Linked DNA regions of Schizosaccharomyces pombe. The gene in region 2 interacts genetically with the main gene of each other region. Each region holds a gene or a part of one and is shown on either strand. Other genes may lie near its edges.

Region 1 (5,341 bases), 1.3 Mb from region 2:
TTTGTAAAAATTGTCGATGTATCCCTTAAAATTTTATTCAACTGGGACCTATCCAACATTTCTCTTAATCAAAAACTTTGCGGTTATGCACATCTTTACTCTTTTTCAAGTGTAAAGAGTGTTGTTCACTGGCTTCAGATTATAAAAAACTGTACTTTCCAGCTTTATGACGACGATATGGCTCTTCTAGCTGGATATGGTTCACGCCATTACCAAGTTCCTCTGTTTCCTACGAATAATATCAAATGCCCAATGCTGATACTATGGGGAGGTAAAGATACTTTGATCAATATGGAAGTAATGAGAACTGCTCTTCCTCCCCATGCAAAGGAAGTTTCGGTAAGCCTTTTATTTTATAGGTTTGTTGCTCAATATGCTAATATAAGTTAGATTGCTCATTATGAACATCTTGACTTTCTATGGGGCCAGGATGTTAAAGAGGAAGTGTTCCCAGTTGTAATAGATGCCCTTAAGCATCATTCATTAGGCAAAGCCAAACATTTCGTTAAACAAAACGGTTTTCATTAATGATTAATTAATAATTTAAAAAAAAAACTTCTATATAACGCTTAGATAGATATTTAGAACAACTTTAATTTTGTCAGACTATTTTCAACTTTCATAAACAGCATATCGAAGTGACTTCGAAGAACCATTGTTTCGAGAACGATGCCACGAAATAATGAACTGTTTACCACTTTCACTAGGCTGACTAAAAGCAACTTCTGCAGGCGATATAACGTAACCGTAAATGAATTTTTTTAAAGCATTGTCTAATAGTAAACTTGCTATCCCTTGTTTGCGTCTTGAAGCTGATACCCAAATCCTGGAAATACCCAATACAAACCCCTTTCGTAGATTTTCGTTTTTTATATATACTGCGGAAGAGGTGCTATTGTTGTTGTTGAGTTCAAGTTCATCGACTATGTATGCAGAAGATATACGCTCTGCCAGAAGTAATCCGACACATTTCTTATCTGATATGAATAGAAATGTGGTATATTTATCTACCCCAATTGTTTCAATAGGCTCACTTGAAAGTTCGTTATTTACGAAAGATAAAGCTTCCTCTGCTTTTCTTTGATCAATTAATGAGCTTTCTGAATTTATGCTGTATATGCAATCGGAACTCAAACCATAGTTAACGCGATAAATAGGAGAGCATTGAAAGGACACAGTAACACCTCCTAGAACCCGAGAATGAAACCTAGAATGAAGCAAAATATCTTCTTCGCTCGTTGAATTGTACTCCATAGAACATTCTGAACAAGTTACGGTGGAATTAGCCAAATCTAAGTGTAACTGGGTCATGTTGTCTGAGCTGTTGGAAATTGCTTTTGGCGTTTGCTTTTTCCAATTTGGTGTCAGATTTCCACCGTTTCCTAAAAATGCGTCCAAAAATGCTCTTTTGTTGTTTGTTTCATCGGATAAAGGTGCATAATGCTTGCTACCGGTTTTCCTTCCATATGTTTTAGGCTTTACTTGCTTAGGTTTATCATGGGATGGCGGTACTAAGTTATTATAGCGTTCTTTTCTCGAAATGGAGAGAGCTATATGATAATCTTCATGTTCATTTCTTTCGGATAAAGTAATTTTCTGTTCGCATTCTTCACACGTGTAAGTTTCATCAGCTGAATTCTCCGTTGGTTTAGAAACAGCGGTCTGTTGTAGCATATCAAAAATCCCTTTACCTTTACCTCTTTTCAACCTTTTAGGTGACTTTATATCTTTTTCCGAAGATAATTCAAAAGAATTATTTTCCCTCATATTTTCGTTCAATAATTTAGCGCGTCCCTCAATAGAAGGTGAAACAGAAGTAGACATGTAGATTTCATCATTGGACTTTTTTAAAAAACCCTCAATTCCCCTAGAATTACGATCAACCTCTATGATGTTTTGAAAGCTAATAGATAAGTTTGAAATCGGATATACATCGAATTCCTGTTGCAGTTGACGCAACAGTTTGGATGTTGCTTCAACAATAAACTGAGTGCTAATATCAACATTCATAGGTATTTGACTTGACCTTGACTTTCTCAGAAATCTTGATACAACAGTCAAACAAATGGTCTTGGGCCTTCTCATTCCTTCAAGTTCAAGGAATCGTGATCGAAGATCAGATGCGAATACTTGAAACCAGTTAATTGCATCTTCTTCAGACTTCACTTTTTGCTGAGAAAAATTTTTAGCCGACAACATTGATTTAATCTGAACTTGTGTAGTAATCTCAGTGTTATCAATTCCATGGCACAAATTCCAAACGAGTGGACCGTTAGTTTGACCAAGCTTATCTATCAAAAAGTCCATACTCATATTCCAAACATCCTTAATAGAATCTGTTCCTAATAAATTAATTATTTCTTCTCCAAATTTTCCGCCCAGCATTCTTATATCAGTAATCTTTAATGACACTAAATAATCTTGAATTGCATTTTTCGTTAAAATAGTTTGCTTGTTTGGTTTATTACGCGAGCTGACAAGCTTTGAAAGCATTGGGTTAAAAGAAACTCCTGCTGAGCACGTGTATTTGAGTTGCAAGTATATATCATCGCGAATTTCTTTCACGATTTTTGCAGCGTAAAATAAAAAAACATCATCCCAATCCCTTTCATAATCTTCTTTCGTTCTATCTACAACTTCTTCTTCAATGACCATTCCAAACTCAGCAGGCCATAGTAGCACTGGAGCCTGCGGCAAAGCAACATTTGAGTCCTCAGAGGGAATTTTCAAGTAAGGATATTCCTCCAACACAATCCGTTTAACATCACTCGTAAGTTCAATAAAACATTCGTCAATACTAGCCTTCTTAACCACAGGCGCATGTTTCTTTATGATGTTAAGAATCTTAACGCTTTCGTGCCGATAAGGATCTAAACAGGTTTTATAGTAGTTAGGATTTGGGTTTTCATGGTACTTAGCCTCTGACTCCCCAGCTTTCCAAGTTTTTACATGAGCGGTACAAAGCTCTGGACATTTCTTTTTTGCTTCAGTAACTGTTTCATGGCGTGAAATATTCGCTGCACGGGCTGCGTAGTTTACAGCAATAAGCCCTTGCCATTGTTGAACAGCAAGGGGAACTGAATGGTCTAATCCTAGGCGAACACTTTCGACTTGAGCGTAAAAAGCATCCTGATCAATATGAGCTACAACCCTTAACGGTGAATTTTGTGTACCTGCTTTATCACAATATTGCAAGTCCTTCCAAGAGAATTTGCTTTTGCCTAATTCCATTCAGTTCATACCCTCAAAAAAGTTCTTTAATAAGAATCGCTCAAGTTCTATAGCGCGTTCGTGTTGAATTTAGTGGACTAAGGTACTAGATATAGCAACGTTACCTACTACCAGATACTAAAGCAAAATAAATTCAAACTCTCATAATGTTGTAACCAAAATAAATCATCAAAGGAAATTAGATGTTAAACTTAAAAACTGAATTGAGAGAAAACATTCAGGAATTTTATTTAAGAGACTACTTTAATATGTAAACATATATATAAACACAATGAATATACTGCCGCCATGAAAGGTATTGTATATGATGAACAATTAAGATGAAATTGCTGTTAACAAAGCTGCAAAATATTCAAATGCTTCAATTTATTGCATATGATGCTACCTCATAGCAAATTAATCCTTCATTCATCATTTTCAAAATCTTCTCTTTTGGGCACCGACATATTTAACATGTCCGTATCACTAGTGGATTTCATAGATTGTTCGTAACTTTTTAGTTTATAGCTGTTGACTCTGGATCGTATCTTATTATCTAATTTCGACCTTATTGGGGAATTGAACACAGCCAGAGCTATCAATATATATATATGCACAATAAAATATAGCTCTTTCCAAACGTGTATTGATTCTTTTAGATTCAAAAGAAGGAAAGAGATAATTAGATAGGAGAGAGAGAGGTTTGTTGCTACCATACCAATAACATCATAGACTCGCTTAAAAGGCCCAGGAGTTTCCATATCTGGTTTAAGGAAAAATGGGCGAACATGGCGACGCGTGTATTTTGCAACTGTTTGGATAAAGGCTGCGGAAACAAAAGTCAAATAATATCCAGCAGAAACTCCATGCCACATTGCACTAACAGTGAATGTGCTTAGCGTACTTTTGAACCCTGGACGCTTTCCCTTCTTTGCAACTCTCAAATAAACGTAATTTCGAAGCCATTTATTGGTATTCATGTTCCAAGCCTCAAGAGCACATTTGATATTATCTGCGAATTCGAACTTAATAGGGTCAATATTCTTCACTCGATCCCAACGAGGATGCTTAGAAGAATCCAGGCCATTATAACCAATGCCTGACAATATACATGCACCGTCAGAAAGTTCCCATGCGCCATAATATTTCATTCTTGCAACAAAAGCAGTTATGCAAACGTATCCATATTTTAGCAAAATAGGGGAGGAAGCAAACTTAGGTGTAAGTAGAAACTTTAAAGGATAGATTGAGCTTCCGGTAATAAATAAAATCAGCCACAACAGACCTCGCCAGCAACGACCTAAGGCTGGTTCCAAACTGTGTGGTGTTATCTGTTTTTCATAAGGATCAGCCAAAGGCTTAAACATAGAAAGGGTTATAAACCTTTCGTAATCAACATAATCAAAAGCTGGACCAACAAGTAATGAGGGAAAGAAAAATACGTATCCAAGGAAATACAAGATATTAGGAATCTTTCTCAACGCGCGGTCTTTTTGATAAGAAGATAATTCACTTGAAGGAAGACGACCGTCGTAAACAGACCAGGCAAACGCTGTAAGCTTCATACATAGTACCATTTGTGAAGCAGTAATATCAGTATTTTCTGAAGGGTAAATGTACCGAATAACATGGCTGCTAAATGTATGGCCAAGGATTACTATAAATATGATCCATGGCATTCGTGACGATCGATAAAACGCGGCCACGAAATATGTGAACAAAGCGTCAAATAGCAAAACTAAAACGCCATCGTAAAGATGATGAACACCAATGAGATAAAATAAACCTATGCTTATTGAAAATAAGTTTCTAATCCATGGAGCCGAAGGAAGTCTTTTTAGTATGCCGGCAAACGGGTATGCTGAAAGAAAACAAAACAGTAACTTGAGCTGATCCGGGTGGACTCCAAGGAAAGAAGAGAAGTATTCAAATGGTATATCAATAAGATAAGCCATTGTTAATGTAGACAATACTGTCTCCTGCTTTGGGAATGCCTTTGAATTGAACAACTGATATTAAACACTCAACAATCGATTATTCTTTAATCACGAATGTACAGTGAAGATTGTACCCAGAGTTTGGTGTTGGTGAAGTTTTAGCTCATGAACACCAACAATTTCTGGTCTAAAGA
Region 2 (4,491 bases):
CATATACAGGAAGCAGTACGGTGTTAATCTTGGTGCTTGGTTTTGCGCCGAAAGATGGATTAATGATTTCTTGTTTACTGGTGAAGGTAGCAGTGAACTTGAAGCAGTAAGTGGTAATGTTAAGGCTCATGGAATAGACAAAGCTAGAGAGAATTTTGAGGCGCATTGGAAAAGTTGGATTGGTATTGAAGATTTTTCTTATATGAAACAGCACTTAGTTAATAGTGTACGAATACCTCTTGGATATTGGTCATTAGGAAATGATGAATTGGTTAAAGGAACGCCATTTGAGCCTTATGCTGAAGTATATCGTAATAGCCTACACATCTTGTGTGAGAAAATTCAAGAAGCAGGAAGCCTTTCGATCGGTGTGCTTTTAGACTTCCATGGGGTGTATGGAGGAGGAAATTGTGACGGACATTCCGGTACATCGTCTGGAAAGGCAGAATTTTATGAAAAGCAAGAATATCAAGACAGAACAGTGGAAGCCGTTAAATTTTTATCGTCGAAGATTGGTCAGTTTGAAAATGTTATTGGTATTCAAGTAATTAATGAACCGATCTGGGGCCAATATGATGTTCTTGCTAATTTCTATCAAAAAGCTCGCTCTGTTGTTCCTTCCTATCTTCCTGTCTATATTGGTGATGGATGGGATAAAGATCGTATGTCAATTCCATATAGTCATATCATTTTCAATGCTAACAGGATACAGATTGGGTGAATTGGGTGAATGATCATGAATCTGAAGGATTCTATGTGGTTGATCATCATAGCTATTTCTGTTTTGGCGGCGAATTATGCCATGCACCCCCAAAGCTTATAACCAGAAGACTTGATACTGGTGAAGAATACGGTAAAACCAAACTTTCCAATATAGTTATTGGCGAATGGAGTTGTACTTTAAGCCAAGAATCATGGAGCCAAACAAAGCTCCACGATAAAAGAAGACGTGACTTTGGTGAAGCTCAACTGAACCAGTATTTGAATTATTGCGGAGGATGCTTCTTTTGGACTTATAAATTCCTTCACGGAAAAGGTGGAGATTGGGATTTTAGATCTGTTGTAGAGGACAAGGTAATCAATTACCCTCCTCCTCCCCCTACCGAAAACAAAGCCATGCCGGCCTTACTTGAACAAAGTCGGGATCAAAACTTTGGTGGACATTGCTATTATTGGGATCAGAAACAACATGATCATCCATATGAACATGATTTATATGTTAAAGGATGGAATCAAGCCTGGGAGGACTACATTGAGTTTCTTCAGCATGGGGCCATGATCGGATTTCCTCGTGCATGGACTCAAAAAAGGATGACAAGTATTTCTTCTGCTTCTGCTTGGGAATATCGTGACGGTATGAATGCGGCCTGGTTGCATCTCGAGCGTATGGGCTTTCTCAATCCTTTTCGTCACCCATAATTCCATAATGTCTGTCTTAATGACCTTTATACTCTATGTTTATGCTTTTGTTTATCCGCACAAAAATTTAATGTGTTTGGTAACCCTCCTGCTAATCTCTATTCCCTTACCCACTTTTTGTCGTTAAATTTTGCTTGTTGTATTCACATCCTTGTTACATATGTTTAATTTTGGTAGATTAAAAATTCTGTTGATTTTCTTTTATAAAATTCTCTAAAAGATAATTAAAGGATTAATATTAACGACTTACTATTGAATTTTTTAATAGAGAAATGAAATAATAGAACGTTTAAATAAAGAATCCAAGCATTTTTCTTTGTTTACATCCTTTGTTTACAATACGCAATCTTAGCATAGTAAAACAAAGAAAGGATACGTAGTAGTGCGTACGTATTTTACCCACACTCGCTTTTTACCGCACTCTTGAACTATATATACATGTACTACCTCGAGCTGGAAGTAGTACAGTAAAATTCGTATATTGCTATTAATCCTTTTTTATCTTATTTAAACATCAAGGAGTAGTATTTATTGACGTTATCAAAGCAAAACTTTACTTTGACACTGTATTAATACACCAGGCATCTCTCTATTACATAGTGTCGGCTACAATTGACTTAAAAGAATTGTTTTAAATCTAATTGCTAAAGCTGAAACTGTTTAAAATTTAGAATATTTAAACTTATACATTATATTAAACTTTTATGCAATTTAGCTTGACGGCAATACGATAATATCTTTTTAATTCCTAGGTCTCATATATTATTCTTGCTGTTGAGCTTAAAACCATAAAACAGCCTTACGTTTGTTTCTGAACGACAAACTATTACCATATATTGAATTGACTTTCCTGAATTTATACCCTTATTTTCTTTATTAAAGCTTTGAACGTCATGGATTCTGATCGTTGTTTAACAGACGAAATTTCATTAAATACGCTTTCATCTACTTTTGCTAGTGATAATAACTTAAGAAGGAAAGAGAATTTTTTGAAAAGTAGATACCCTTCAAAATTTGATTTAAATGTTTCAATGTTAACGAAGAGTGATGACGTTGGAAAGACCCCGTTTTCAATTTTCGATTCACCAAGCAATCCTGGCTTTTCTCGGTCGCACCAAATGTGTTCTGACAAAAACAAGAGTCCCTTCCTCTTTGATAAGATTAGGGATGAACCCGTTTCTGTCGATCCCGTTAAACTTATCATTAATAATCGGAACAAACGGAAAATTAATAGACAGAAATCAAGGCTTCAAGGCCTTTATCGGTCCGATGCTAATGGTTTGCAACCATTGAATTCTGAAAATGTCAAAATGAAAAAATCAACTGCCTTGTCGTTGACAAGTTCACCCTTAAACTCTTGGAAAACTGATTTCAAAACACCGCCGAAAGCTAATGTTGTTTGTATCTCTTTAGTTATTGAAGGAGACGGCTGCGCATCATTGCTGTACGAAGATTTGAATCAGATTTCCAATAGTTGCCCTGAAGTAGCACCGAACCGTCAGAACGCTCTCTTTTCAGACGAAACGCTGACAACTATGTTCTATAGTGGTGTCACGGAGGATGAGGGCTCATGTAACAATTTACTACAATCTAGCTTCGGTGATGATCTGGACTTGGGAATGCAACGGTCTGCAACTTGGGCACCGGGCTATAATTATCCAAGCAAATTTGATAGCATACCTTTTGCTTCAGCATCTCCAAAAATAAAAGCAGCTTTCCCTTTCGATCCCAACGTTTATGCATTGAATACTAACGATGGTCCAGTCACGAGTACTGATAATAATTGTGATCAATTAAACACTAGGATGCAGGCATGGAATAATGGCTTTAATTACTCAAACCTAAATGGTGATATCCAATATCCTGCTGTTACACCAAAATTTTTTCAACAAGAAGGCCGGGCCCTTAATGTTTCCGACTGTAATTTTGGAAATGAAGAAATTGCTTACGGTGGAATTCCTATGCGTGTTTGTCATAGTGATAGCACATTATGTGATGCCAGAATTGCAGCTAAGCAAGCTTTAAAAGGTAAAAGGCAATATGACACATCAACATCAAAAGCAGAGCTCTCTACTCCCCCATCAAAACGAAGGCATATTGATGATGCCGATTTAGTTTTTCACAGTAGTCCCTTACTGTCACGCTCGCGATTCATTTGTTGCTACTGCACGAAGCCTTTCCTTTCAATTAGTAAACTTCAGGAACATGAGTCCTCGTGTTCACATGTTGAGCGACTCTTTGGGTTTGCCCCAAATCGTCTTTATGATGATGGTGATGGATTTTTGGGTTCGAGTTTTTGCAGTGATTGGTAAGATTATAGCATGTTTCGCTGCATCTATTTGATTGTCCAGCAGCTGAGATTGCTACGATTTATTCTTTATTTAAAACACATTTATTTCATGCTTTATTACTTATCATTAATCTTGTACTTTAATTTAATTTTTCATAGTTATTAATCTTTAATTAGTGTTTATGAGGCGATCTTTGAAGTCTCTCTTTTGTTTTTAGAATTAGCATTTTTTTCAAACAAGTAATTGCCAACTAACATAAAAATATTAATAAATTCATACATTTCAATTAACATCTGGTGAGCCAAGAGTGAGTTGTAGAATAATATTTAATGCTCATAATACCTATTCCACATCTATGTCATTCAAAATGTTAGACATCCAGTGGGGATGTGGCCATACACGAGCTATAACTTTAGCCTTAATAAGGCCCATTGGAACAGGTCCGTAATTTCGACTATCAAGTGAGTGAGCAATGTTATCTCCTGCAAGCCAAACATGACCTAAAGGTATAGTTATTTTTTTATTTGAAGAGGTGGGATCGACATAAATTGTATCTCCTGGCTATAAAATTAGTACAAAAAGGATAACGTTCCATGTGAAATACTCACCATTCCAATGATTCGTTTGCACACGTGTTGCTTTGAATCGGAAGGTTTTGCCGAAACAACAACATCTCCTACAGAACATGAACGAGCAAACCTACCATGCAATTTATCTAACAAAACGAATTCACCACTTTTTAAGTTAGAACCATAAATACAAAGCGTTATTTCAATACCCA
Region 3 (5,232 bases), 210 kb from region 2:
TAAGTATTTGCTCAAAAAGCCATAGTGGGTGCTTAGTAAATTAGACTACTTTTCCACACTATATAGCCTGTTTGTTTGCAAAATTACTAACAATAACAAATGTAGCTAAAAGCTTGGTTGGACAACGTTTACGAAATGGAAATAAATTCTTAAAATAAAACATTTTTCTTTACAGAATATTTATTTGTTTTTTTGTATCTATTACCATGGTTGTTAATTTAAGTAAATAATAGTTTTCGCTATAATAATATTAGAAGGAAGCTAAGCTTAATGTGGTTTTGAATTACCTACTGCAACACACCGTATTGAAACAAAAACGATCAGGAATAGAAGCCTGACACTTATCAGATAAAATTCATTAATACGTTTTCCTGGTTTAATTATTAATTACGGAAACTCCCATGCTTGTTAAGGTACATACAGACGGTTAATCATAAACTTCTTAGAGGAGAGAGTTTAGCAGTTGTCCTCAAAAAATGGCAAACCCTTTCGTTCGAAATCAATCTTTTAAATCAGTATTTTTTAAAAATTTAGTCGGAATTACCCTATGGGTACCCGTATTAATGTTCGTTGAACAACATGTAGTCAGCGTCGGTACAATTGAAGGTAGATCTATGAAACCAGCCTTTAACCCTGAGACAAACATGCTGCAGAGAGATAGGGTACTACTTTGGAAATGGAATAAGGATTACAAAAGAGGAGATGTAGTTATACTACGGTAAGTTCTTGGATCGTTGCAGGGTCTTTCGGTACTGAGTTTCCCTTTTTATCGTTACTAATAAGCAACAAGCTCTCCAGAAAACCCAGAGGAACTATTGGTAAAAAGAGTTCTAGGAGTAGAATACGATATCATGAAAACGAGACCTCCTAAAAAGTTGTCATTAGTACCCGTTCCCGAGGGACATGTGTGGGTCGAAGGCGATGAACAATTTCATTCTATGTAGGTTTCCAACAATTGTTTTTTTACTTTTTCGTTTTCTTCTATAGAGATATTAACTAGTTTACAGTGATAGTAACAAATTTGGCCCAGTATCGACAGGACTCATCACTGCCAAAGTGATTGCAATTTTGTTTCCCTTCTCTCGTGCAGGGCGTATTGATCATGAAGGTTTCCGAAAGAATGCAGTGTTTTTAAGTGGAAAACGTTCTGTTAAGTAAGCTGCACCACAGTGAACCTGTTTCCTTGACAGTTTAGTTCCATGCTGGTTGGTGCTTATTTACATTTCTTTTAAGGAACACGTTATCCTTAAATTTAATTTATTTCGACGCGTCGCGTTCTATATATGACGTCATTAATATGTCTATCTATTTACCTATTTGAAAAAGATGGAAGTTGGAAGCTACTTTGTATTAGAAATACCAATAAAAAAATATAATTTTTTCATACTCAACATCAAAACTTTTATTTAGGGAAAATTAGAATTGACTGAAAAATCCGTCTCTTTTGCATATCCCGAAACAGTAAAGTCGTTGAGTATAGCAAAGTTGGAAATTTTTCAACAGGGTATTTGAAATGAGAAAGAATTCCATTTCTAAGTAGCCTTTAAATAAAACCCCCAGAAGAAACGAACATTGAAGTAGTCCTTTGTTTTCCTTAGGAAGCCTCATATATCGTTACTTCGAATACGGTCTAACGCCGTACCAAATGTATACAGCTGCGTGAACCTTCCCAGAGCGAATTTGTGTATAACACGAAATCCGAAAAAATTACTTCTATTTATTTGAAAAAGAAAGGAATTCACAATCTCTTAAACAAACCAAGTGGTGAGGAGCTCGAGTCTTCTTTCATGGTCAGTTCAGCACCCTTATTTTCGAGAAAAACGTGCTGCCCTTTATAAAAAATTCGATATTTTTTCGGCATTTTTTATTTTAATATACTATAATGGCTTCAGCCAATTTTATTCGCCAGTTTGAGCTGGGGAACGATTCTTTTTCATACCAAAAACGCCCAGAGGATGAGCCATCACAACCCCTTTCAAACAGAAATATAAACAAACTAAACGATTCATCTACTTTAAAAGACTCTAGTTCAAGGATTTTTATTAACTCCCAAGTTTTACGTGATGGCCGACCCGTAGAATTGTATGCTGTCGAATGTTCAGGCATGAAATATATGGAGCTTAGCTGTGGGGATAATGTTGCTCTTCGAAGATGTCCAGATTCTTACTTTAATATCTCTCAAATACTTCGACTTGCTGGTACTTCGTCATCTGAAAACGCCAAAGAATTGGATGATATTATCGAGAGTGGGGACTATGAGAATGTTGACTCCAAACACCCTCAAATAGATGGAGTATGGGTTCCATATGATCGAGCAATTTCTATAGCAAAGCGATATGGGGTTTATGAAATTTTACAACCATTAATTTCTTTTAATCTTGATTTATTCCCCAAATTTTCAAAGCAGCAACAAATCGAAAGTTCTTCAATCTCCAAAAATTTAAATACTTCTTCTTTTAATACGCGATCCCCTTTGAGGAATCATAATTTTTCAAACCCTAGCAAGTCTTCAAAGAATGGGGTGCACACTATAAACAATATGCAGAGTTCACCTTCACCTTCTTCCTCTTTCTTACTACCTTTAACTCAAATTGATAGCCAAAATGTTAAACGCTCTAACAATTACCTCTCCACCTCTCCACCTATCCTTGAACAGCGTTTAAAACGGCATAGAATTGATGTCAGTGATGAAGACTTACATCCCTCCTCACAGTTAAATGATAATGAGGCCTCTTCATTGTTTCCAGATACGCCAAGGTTGAACCATTCACTTTCTTTTGTATCCTTGGTTTCTAGTCTTCCTCCACTTGATCAGAATATTATGCAGGATTATCATACATCAAAAGACATTTTGACCTCTATCTTTTTAGATGTAAACTTTGCTGATTCCAGCGCCTTAGAAGCAAAGCTGTCGGACTCATTAGATTTGGATGTCCCCATTGACGAACTTGGACACGCCGCTCTGCACTGGGCAGCAGCCGTTGCCAAAATGCCTTTGTTACAAGCCTTAATACATAAAGGAGCTAATCCTTTACGTGGCAACCTCACAGGAGAAACGGCATTAATGAGATCGGTTTTGGTAACCAATCATCTCAATCAGAACTCTTTTGGTGATTTACTAGACTTGCTTTACGCATCTCTTCCCTGTACAGATCGAGCTGGACGGACCGTCGTTCATCACATTTGTCTTACTGCAGGTATAAAAGGCCGAGGTTCAGCATCGAGATATTACTTAGAAACCTTATTAAATTGGGCAAAGAAACATGCAAGTGGTAACAACGGATATATGCTGAAAGACTTCATAAACTATTTAAATCATCAAGATAAAAATGGGGATACAGCTTTAAATATCGCAGCAAGAATTGGAAATAAGAACATTGTTGAAGTTTTAATGCAAGCCGGAGCTTCCGCTTATATTCCTAATCGTGCAGGGTTAAGCGTAGCAAATTTTGGAATTTTTGTTGAAAACGCATTAAAACAACCCGAAGACTCAAAACAAACAAAAGTTTCCCTTATGAGTGAAAATCTGTCCAGCAAAGAAAAGACTGCTGTCCCTCCTCGTCAAAAGAGTAGAGACATTATCGCCTCTGTGACCGATGTAATATCTTCTCTGGATAAAGATTTTCAGGATGAAATGGCTGCAAAACAGTCTATGATTGACTCAGCCTACACCCAATTGCGTGAATCTACAAAAAAGCTGTCCGATCTTCGTGAACAACTACACGTGTCCGAGACGCAAAGAACTTTGTTTCTTGAATTAAGGCAACGTTGTAAAAATCTTATGACTTCGATCGAAGAACAGAAAAGTGAATTAAGTAATCTTTATGAATCTTTTGATCCCAATGGAATACACGATTCATTATCATTGGATGCTGACGCTCCTTTTACTGTCAATGAAAACAACAACAAAAATTTATCTATTGCTGAATTGAAGTTTCAAGTTGCTGCTTATGAGAGAAATGAAGCCAGATTAAACGAATTAGCGAACAAACTTTGGCAACGAAATTCCAACATAAAATCAAAGTGCCGTCGGGTTGTTTCCCTATGCACCGGTGTCGATGAATCTCGAGTGGATTCATTATTGGAAAGTTTGTTACAAGCCGTGGAAAGTGACGGTCAACAGGGAGAAGTAGATATGGGTCGAGTTGCTGGATTCTTACGTGTTGTTAAAGAACATCAAGCATAATATTGCTTTTTGTGGTTTACCACTAAAGTGTCCTGAAATAATTAACTACTTTAATTTTTTTCTTAATATAGAATCCTACCAAATGAATAAAACGTAATTTATTATATGTTAATAATCTTGGCTATTGGAAATTAGTTAAATTTTCATTAAGCTTTTCGAAATATGTTTTTTGCTCTATAGCTAAATTTCCCGATACGCCGCTAAGAACAGTCGAAATGAGGGTATAATTATTGGACAAAAACCTACTTTGTCTCCTTTTGTCATTAACTGTTTTACACAGGTTTTGTAACATGCTCACATAATCCTGAGCTAGTCTTGAAGCACTTCGTGCAACAGGCTCGGCTTCTACGACATTAACACTTAGCATCGAAAGGCTATAAAGTAGTTCAGCTACTCGCTGCGAAAGTGGATGAGGTCGCGAAGTGATTTCTTCTGGCTTCACAGATAAGTTAGTTTTACGGAGTGACTCACAGTGCATGTCCATGACAGCTTGAAAGCGAGGCCACAGAAAAAGAATCATGGAGTTATAGTGTGGCTCAATAACAGGCACTATATTAGTTTGCGCCTGTAAAGCTAATTTTTGAGTAAAACGAATGGACTTCAAAATACCTATGCAATCGATACTGCTTGATATCAATCCTGTAATGTATTTGCGTGAAAAATGTAAAGTTTTTTCAAAGATAGCGGCAAAAACGGTAGCCTGCTGATCTTTAGAGAGGTTAAAGTACTCCAGCAAAAAAGCATATTCAGAAGAGACGTGTTCCGTCAAGACTAATTCCCATGAGCAATAAACACGTTCAATATATTGTGGGGAAGATTCAATATGATGCATTGTAGATGCTGTCAACACAGAGTTCATATCAAAATCCTGAGGGCGCAAGTTTACTGAGAGCATTTGATTCCCGTAAGATTGTTGTGCTCCTTTGGAAAGGTTGAAGAGTCCTTTCCGATCCTCTTCAACGCGAATAGTTTCTCCCTTAAGGACATGAACTTTGTCCAAAAACCTAGAGTACTGTTCGAAGTGGTATAGATAAAACCAATTCATC
Region 4 (5,536 bases), 1.7 Mb from region 2:
AGTTGATATGGCGCTCTCGCCTGACTAATCCAGTCAATAAATGGTACTTTGAAAGAAGTGTAGGCTCCTTAAAGTCAAGCAAAACACCTTGGAAACTTTTCTGGACTGGAGACTCACATGTCAGAAATTTGGATCGAGTGAACCAGTATATGAGCGTTATTGATAAAATTCAGCCAACATGGTTGAATTGAGTGGAAGTTAACGATTGCACTTTATCAGAGACAAGATTATTTCGCTTCTTCAAAAGCACTTGTCAAACTTTTTAATAAAAGGAAAAAAGTCCATTTTGATAGGACATTAATTCTCTTTTGCACATTAGATTATAGATTGAGTAGTTTGCCTACAAACTTGCATTTTTCTTTAGTTATGATTTTTGTTTATTCCCCCACATAACCCCCATGTAGAGCTTAGAAAAGGTGATACTAGCTTTTTTCTTTTGTGAGTATCAACGTTTATCAACAAAACTAGTAGTAAACATGTCTTATAAACTTGAGTTGTTGCGTCGTGCCTTAGAACATAATGTTTTGAAGTTTGGAACTTTCACCTTAAAATCAGGCAGAAAATCTCCATACTTCTTCAATTCTGGTAATTTCACTCATGGTGCCGATTTATGCGCTCTTGCAGAAGCCTATGCCGAGACTATTATCGCTATGAACGTTGATTTTGATGTCATATTTGGTCCTGCTTATAAGGGTATCTCTTTGGCTGCTATAACGGCCGTCAAACTTTATGAAAAAACTGGAAAGAGCTATGGATTTGCCTATAACCGCAAAGAGGCCAAGTCCCATGGTGAAGGAGGTAACCTTGTAGGCGCCGAAATGGAAGGTAAAAAGGTTTTACTTTTGGATGATGTTATTACCGCTGGAACTGCCATTCGTGAAGCAATTTCCTTCTTAGAACCTAAGCACGTAAAATTGGCTGGTATCGTCCTTTTGCTTGACCGCCAAGAGCGACTGGACCCCGAAGTAAACGAAAGTACCATTGGTAGATTGAAGAAGGAGCTTAACTTACCCGTTTCCTCCATCCTTACTTTGGACGACATTGTTGACTTTACCAAATCAGACTTAACTGCAGCTGAATCAAAGGCAATGGATGCTTACAGACAGCAGTACCAAGCCAAATGAGCTTATGGTAATGTTTCTTTTAAAAATTTGGAAGGAGGAAAGAGAATAATTGGATAAGTATCTTTTTTGGTTTTTAGCTTTGCTTTTTTAAAGAGAGTGAAGTTAGTTGGTATTTACATATGTTATAGAATTTTTTTATCTGTATATTTGTGGTGATAGATACAACTCATATTAGAAGGAATTTTCTATAAAGCGATTGCATTTAGCGGTATTCAAAAATTTCTCTATAATAGACGAAGGAAATTGGTTTACTTGTTAAGCTTTTGTTTTGCACATATCCATCTATCTTTTGATTAGTTCCGTGAATCTGTTTTTTTTGTGTTTGTTTCTTCTTTTGTGTTATTCGAATCTTTCCAAGATGACAGTTAGGAATGAAGCTACCAAAATATTGAGTTGAGGGATAATTAATGTTTCACAAAATGGTATTTGTGTATTATTTTTGTAAAAATTTGTAGGATTTGGTTTTTAGTGATGATTATTTACGTTCGAAAGACGCATATAATGGGCAATTATAAAAAATTTAGGATTTTATTTTTCAATTCTGCGACGGGTATTTATGCTCTGTGTTTGAAATACCAAATATTAAATAATGGTAAAACCTTTAAACAGAAGCCTGGTGATTAACTTTTTATTATGACAAGAAAATGTTAAGAAATTTTGGAATGTTTTTATTCTCATATTCAATGTGAATTTGAATAAGTAGTCACTGCAGTCTATAAATAAAAATGGTTTATTAGAAAAACTCGAGTTGAACAATGAAATTCTTTATCATTTATGTAATACAATTGGTTTAACATAGTGGAATCGAATGGTACAATAATTGAGTTACTAATATGTAACCTTCAAGTATTTATCGTTTACCACTAACTCACCATAAGAGAGGGTGAAAGATTTAGTTCTGTTTGTGTGAGATCTTAAAAAAGCAAGCAAATTTCCTTTTTATCAAAAAAAGGATCCGCATTTCCTGAAGCACTTTACTGTGATTTTAGGGATTTTTTTGGTGAGTAAGAAGCAGTGTTTTTCGATTTTTCTGAGATCTCGCTGTTGAAAAAATCCGGACTAAATCGGCTCCGTAGTCGATAAACCCAAATCTACAGCTTTTTGATTTAAATTATACAAATCGTGATCTGGAAAGTTTCGAAAGGTTTCTGTCCTTACATATTAAAGTTCTTGGTAGTTGAGTATCTTACATCAGCTGGTAAGATACGTGGATTTTTAGGGATAGCAGAGGTCTTTAAAAACATCTGTTTTTAACTCAAAACATAGAGTTAAATACTTTTTAATTGAAAAAATCTTTGAGGCAAACGCCGCTGAGAGAATATATCCTTTCTTTAGTGCATGCAGTTAGTATCATATGTATTTCCGACTTTATCTGCTATAAATACTCGGTTTTCAAAAACTATCGATATTTTGTAGAGGAAATTTCAATTTGCTTCTTCTTTCTCATTTGCTTCGTTTTTTTTTTTATATGATATTAATAGCTGGCGCTGTGGAGTTGAGACATTAAATTATTACAAACATTTAGAGAGACGAAACGTTGTTATTGCATCAAGTTTTGAAGCTCTTCCTTCCTTCCTTTTTTTTAAATTGCTTGCCAATAGTGCCGTTATGTATAACGACCAAATACATAAAATCACCTATTCAGGAGTGGAAGTATTTGAGTATACGATCAATGGCTTTCCTTTAATGAAACGTTGTCATGATAACTGGCTTAATGCCACGCAAATCCTTAAAATTGCAGAGCTCGATAAACCCAGGAGGACAAGGATTCTGGAGAAATTCGCTCAAAAGGGACTTCATGAAAAAATTCAAGGTGGTTGTGGAAAATATCAAGGTTTGTGTTAACTTCTTACTATATCAATAGGTTTAAAACTACTTAAATAACATAAAATTTTTGTCTCTGTTGTTTTTATTTATCAATTTATACTTTTTTGGATGCCTGTTACTAACTATTCATTCAGGAACTTGGGTACCCTCTGAAAGAGCTGTTGAACTTGCTCATGAATATAATGTTTTTGATTTAATACAACCTCTGATTGAATACTCTGGCTCTGCGTTCATGCCAATGTCTACGTTCACTCCTCAGAGCAATCGTAAGCCTACAGAAGCATATCGACGAAACAGTCCAGTAAAAAAGTCATTTTCCCGGCCTTCGCATTCTTTACTCTACCCTTACACATCTTCCAATAATATGACATCTACTTCTAGAATGTCAGGAATCCATGATGCTTTGTCTCTTCAATCTGATTTCACGCGCTCTCCCGATATGCCTTCTGATTCCTTTACGGGATCTTTGCACGATATCAAAGCTTCTCCGTTTTCTTCAAACAATTATGCGCAGTCTCTCTTGGATTACTTTTTATTACCAAATACTACACAACCTCCTGATTTCGTATATGATCGGCCATCAGATTGGGATGTTAATGCTGGCATTGATGAGGATGGTCATACAGCACTTCATTGGGCTGCTGCAATGGGAAATTTGGAAATGATGCATGCACTATTGCAAGCAGGCGCCAACGTAGTTGCTGTCAATTACCTTCAACAAACATCTTTGATGCGCTGTGTAATGTTTACCATGAACTATGATTTACAGACTTTTGAGGTAGTTTCGGAGTTGCTTCAATCTGCTATCTGCATGAACGACTCTTTTGGCCAAACCGTCTTTCACCACATCGCATTATTAGCTTCTTCTAAATCAAAGATGGAAGCCGCTCGTTATTATATGGATATCTTATTGCAAAATTTAACTGCAACACAATCCGTTGATGTCGCTGCCCAAATTATAAACCTTCAGGATGATCATGGGGATACCGCTCTTTTGATCTGCGCTAGAAATGGTGCAAAGAAATGCGCGAGATTATTATTATCCTTTTATGCATCATCCTCCATACCAAATAATCAGGGCCAATACCCAACAGATTTTTTGTCTTCGAAAGACATGTCTTTTCCCGAAAATGATGATTCCCCCTTAAATTCCAAAATCGAGGATAATTTGATAGATAACTTAAAATATCCGCAATCACTTGATGACCACTTATCGTCCAAAAAACCTATTTCTTACTTTTCTAATAAACTTACTCACCAAACCCTTCCCAATGTCTTCACTCAGCTGAGCGAACTTTCAAAATGCCATGAAGCATCTCTTGCTGAAAAACAACTAACCTATAATTTGGCAATGGAGGCGTTGGAGCAAACAGTTCGGGAAACTGAAACTTGCCAAAGATTATGGAATGAACGTACCAATAATGACGAGAACTACTTGGTAAATCAGCGGGAGGATTTGATTCACCAGTGTAAAAAATTTCTGCATACATTGAAAACTGCTAGATATTACCTTGAAACAGTTCAGCTTCATCAATTAAAAAAATACGTAACTTACTTTTCTCAAATATGGAGTACTGATGAGTTAGCTGATATCTCGGAGACCAAAAACCTTGTTGGTCATGATACTAAAACGAACCGTTCGTCTTTAAGCTCAAAACACGAAGTTGATCTTTTTACAGCTGAAAACGAAGCTGCTCGTGAAAAGCTCGTTGAGCAATTATGCTCATTGCAAGCGCAACGGAAACAGAAAATTAACGAAATTTTGAACTTGCTTTCTATGGGAATGTATAATACGATTAATACAGATCAAAGTGGATCTTAATTTTTTTGGTTTTAAATTATTATTCAAAATAATTTTTTCTTTCGTTATCTTATTTTTTGCATTCTTTATGTTTTTTATATAAATACCAACTTGAACTTATAGATATTTAACAATCTTTTTATACAGTCGTTGGCTATCTAATGATTAGTTTTAAATTTAAATTTAAATGTATCTTCCCATCTTATTATTTGCTAATATACATAATTTTTCTGATGGTCAATCTAAAATATTAAATATACTAATGTGCTTTTTGAAATGCCATGGGAATGTTAAATCTACAATTCGACGTCAATTCCTGCGTTTGAAAAGTTGTATTTCGCCTTTTCAATCCATTTAGTTCGCTCAGATTCTGAAGCTTCCTCCTTGGCAAGTTCAAAACACAACATTCCGGAATACTCATGCAATGCAGGATTCTGATTGTAGGGTGGTAACAGCAAATACTCATCAAGCAACTTCATAGCTTTATTGTATTCTTGGCGCTGAATAAGTAGCATGATATATGCTGGAAAAAAATGTTCTGCCTGTAAATGTTAGTATAGAATTGCGACATATGATTGATTTCAAATAAGAAGGGACAAAAAATTCAATACACGAAAAGATGAAAGTATAGACGTTTTGTACCAGTATACACTTACATTACGATTCGGATAAGAGTTGTTAATGGATGGACGCGCAGGATATCGAGCTATTAGTCGCTCCATATACTCTGATGAAGCTTCTGGATTAACTTTGTTCAAAATTTCAAGTCCAATGTTCCATAATT

The links.
Region 1: of rep1 (region 2) and eso1, a mutation in one rescues a mutant of the other (synthetic rescue), as found in Schizosaccharomyces pombe (one study listed by BioGRID).
Region 3: of rep1 (region 2) and cdc10, extra expression of one rescues a mutant of the other (dosage rescue), as found in Schizosaccharomyces pombe (one study listed by BioGRID).
Region 4: of rep1 (region 2) and res1, extra expression of one rescues a mutant of the other (dosage rescue), as found in Schizosaccharomyces pombe (2 studies listed by BioGRID).

Annotation. Positions count from the first base shown.
Region 1 is NC_003423.3:4,276,361-4,281,701, forward strand, and holds eso1 (mitotic cohesin N-acetyltransferase/DNA polymerase eta Eso1 fusion protein), read right to left. Parts: upstream 3,294-5,341; 5' UTR 3,232-3,293; coding exon 613-3,231; 3' UTR 529-612; downstream 1-528. Other genes in the region: SPOM_SPBC16A3.12C (triglyceride lipase-cholesterol esterase), read left to right, coding at 1-339, 391-528; ale1 (MBOAT family O-acyltransferase), read right to left, coding at 3,636-5,165. UniProt on the Schizosaccharomyces pombe protein: Probable acetyltransferase required for the establishment of sister chromatid cohesion and couple the processes of cohesion and DNA replication to ensure that only sister chromatids become paired together.
Region 2 is NC_003423.3:2,974,854-2,979,344, forward strand, and holds rep1 (MBF transcription factor activator Rep1), read left to right. Parts: upstream 1-1,844; 5' UTR 1,845-2,312; coding exon 2,313-3,731; 3' UTR 3,732-3,985; downstream 3,986-4,491. Other genes in the region: cell wall glucan 1,3-beta-glucosidase Exg3, read left to right, coding at 1-662, 713-1,419; mmp1 (endopeptidase catalytic subunit), read right to left, coding at 4,053-4,271, 4,319-4,445, 4,489-4,491. UniProt on the Schizosaccharomyces pombe protein: Transcriptional activator that controls the onset of premeiotic DNA synthesis by regulating res2 and some other factor(s) in a mei2 independent cascade.
Region 3 is NC_003423.3:2,760,241-2,765,472, reverse strand, and holds cdc10 (DNA-binding transcription factor, MBF transcription factor complex subunit Cdc10), read left to right. Parts: upstream 1-1,672; 5' UTR 1,673-1,882; coding exon 1,883-4,186; 3' UTR 4,187-4,307; downstream 4,308-5,232. Other genes in the region: PAN complex subunit Ppk26, read left to right, coding at 106-153; mmp2 (endopeptidase catalytic subunit), read left to right, coding at 477-718, 791-940, 1,008-1,158; GARP complex subunit Vps52, read right to left, coding at 4,308-5,232. UniProt on the Schizosaccharomyces pombe protein: Major component of the cell cycle transcription factor complex MBF (MCB binding factor, also known as DSC1), that controls G1-S phase specific gene expression. Involved in the control of rRNA production, via interaction with pol5.
Region 4 is NC_003423.3:1,230,603-1,236,138, forward strand, and holds res1 (MBF transcription factor complex subunit Res1), read left to right. Parts: upstream 1-1,983; 5' UTR 1,984-2,732; coding exon 2,733-2,958; intron 2,959-3,085; coding exon 3,086-4,773; 3' UTR 4,774-4,985; downstream 4,986-5,536. Other genes in the region: acetylglutamate synthase Arg6, read left to right, coding at 1-191; orotate phosphoribosyltransferase Ura5, read left to right, coding at 477-1,124; RNA polymerase I transcription factor subunit Rrn11, read right to left, coding at 5,049-5,294, 5,409-5,536. UniProt on the Schizosaccharomyces pombe protein: Acts as a positive regulator of the mitotic cell cycle and as a negative regulator of sexual differentiation. May be involved in the transcriptional regulation of the cdc22 and cdt1 genes. Is an integral component of the DSC1-like complex.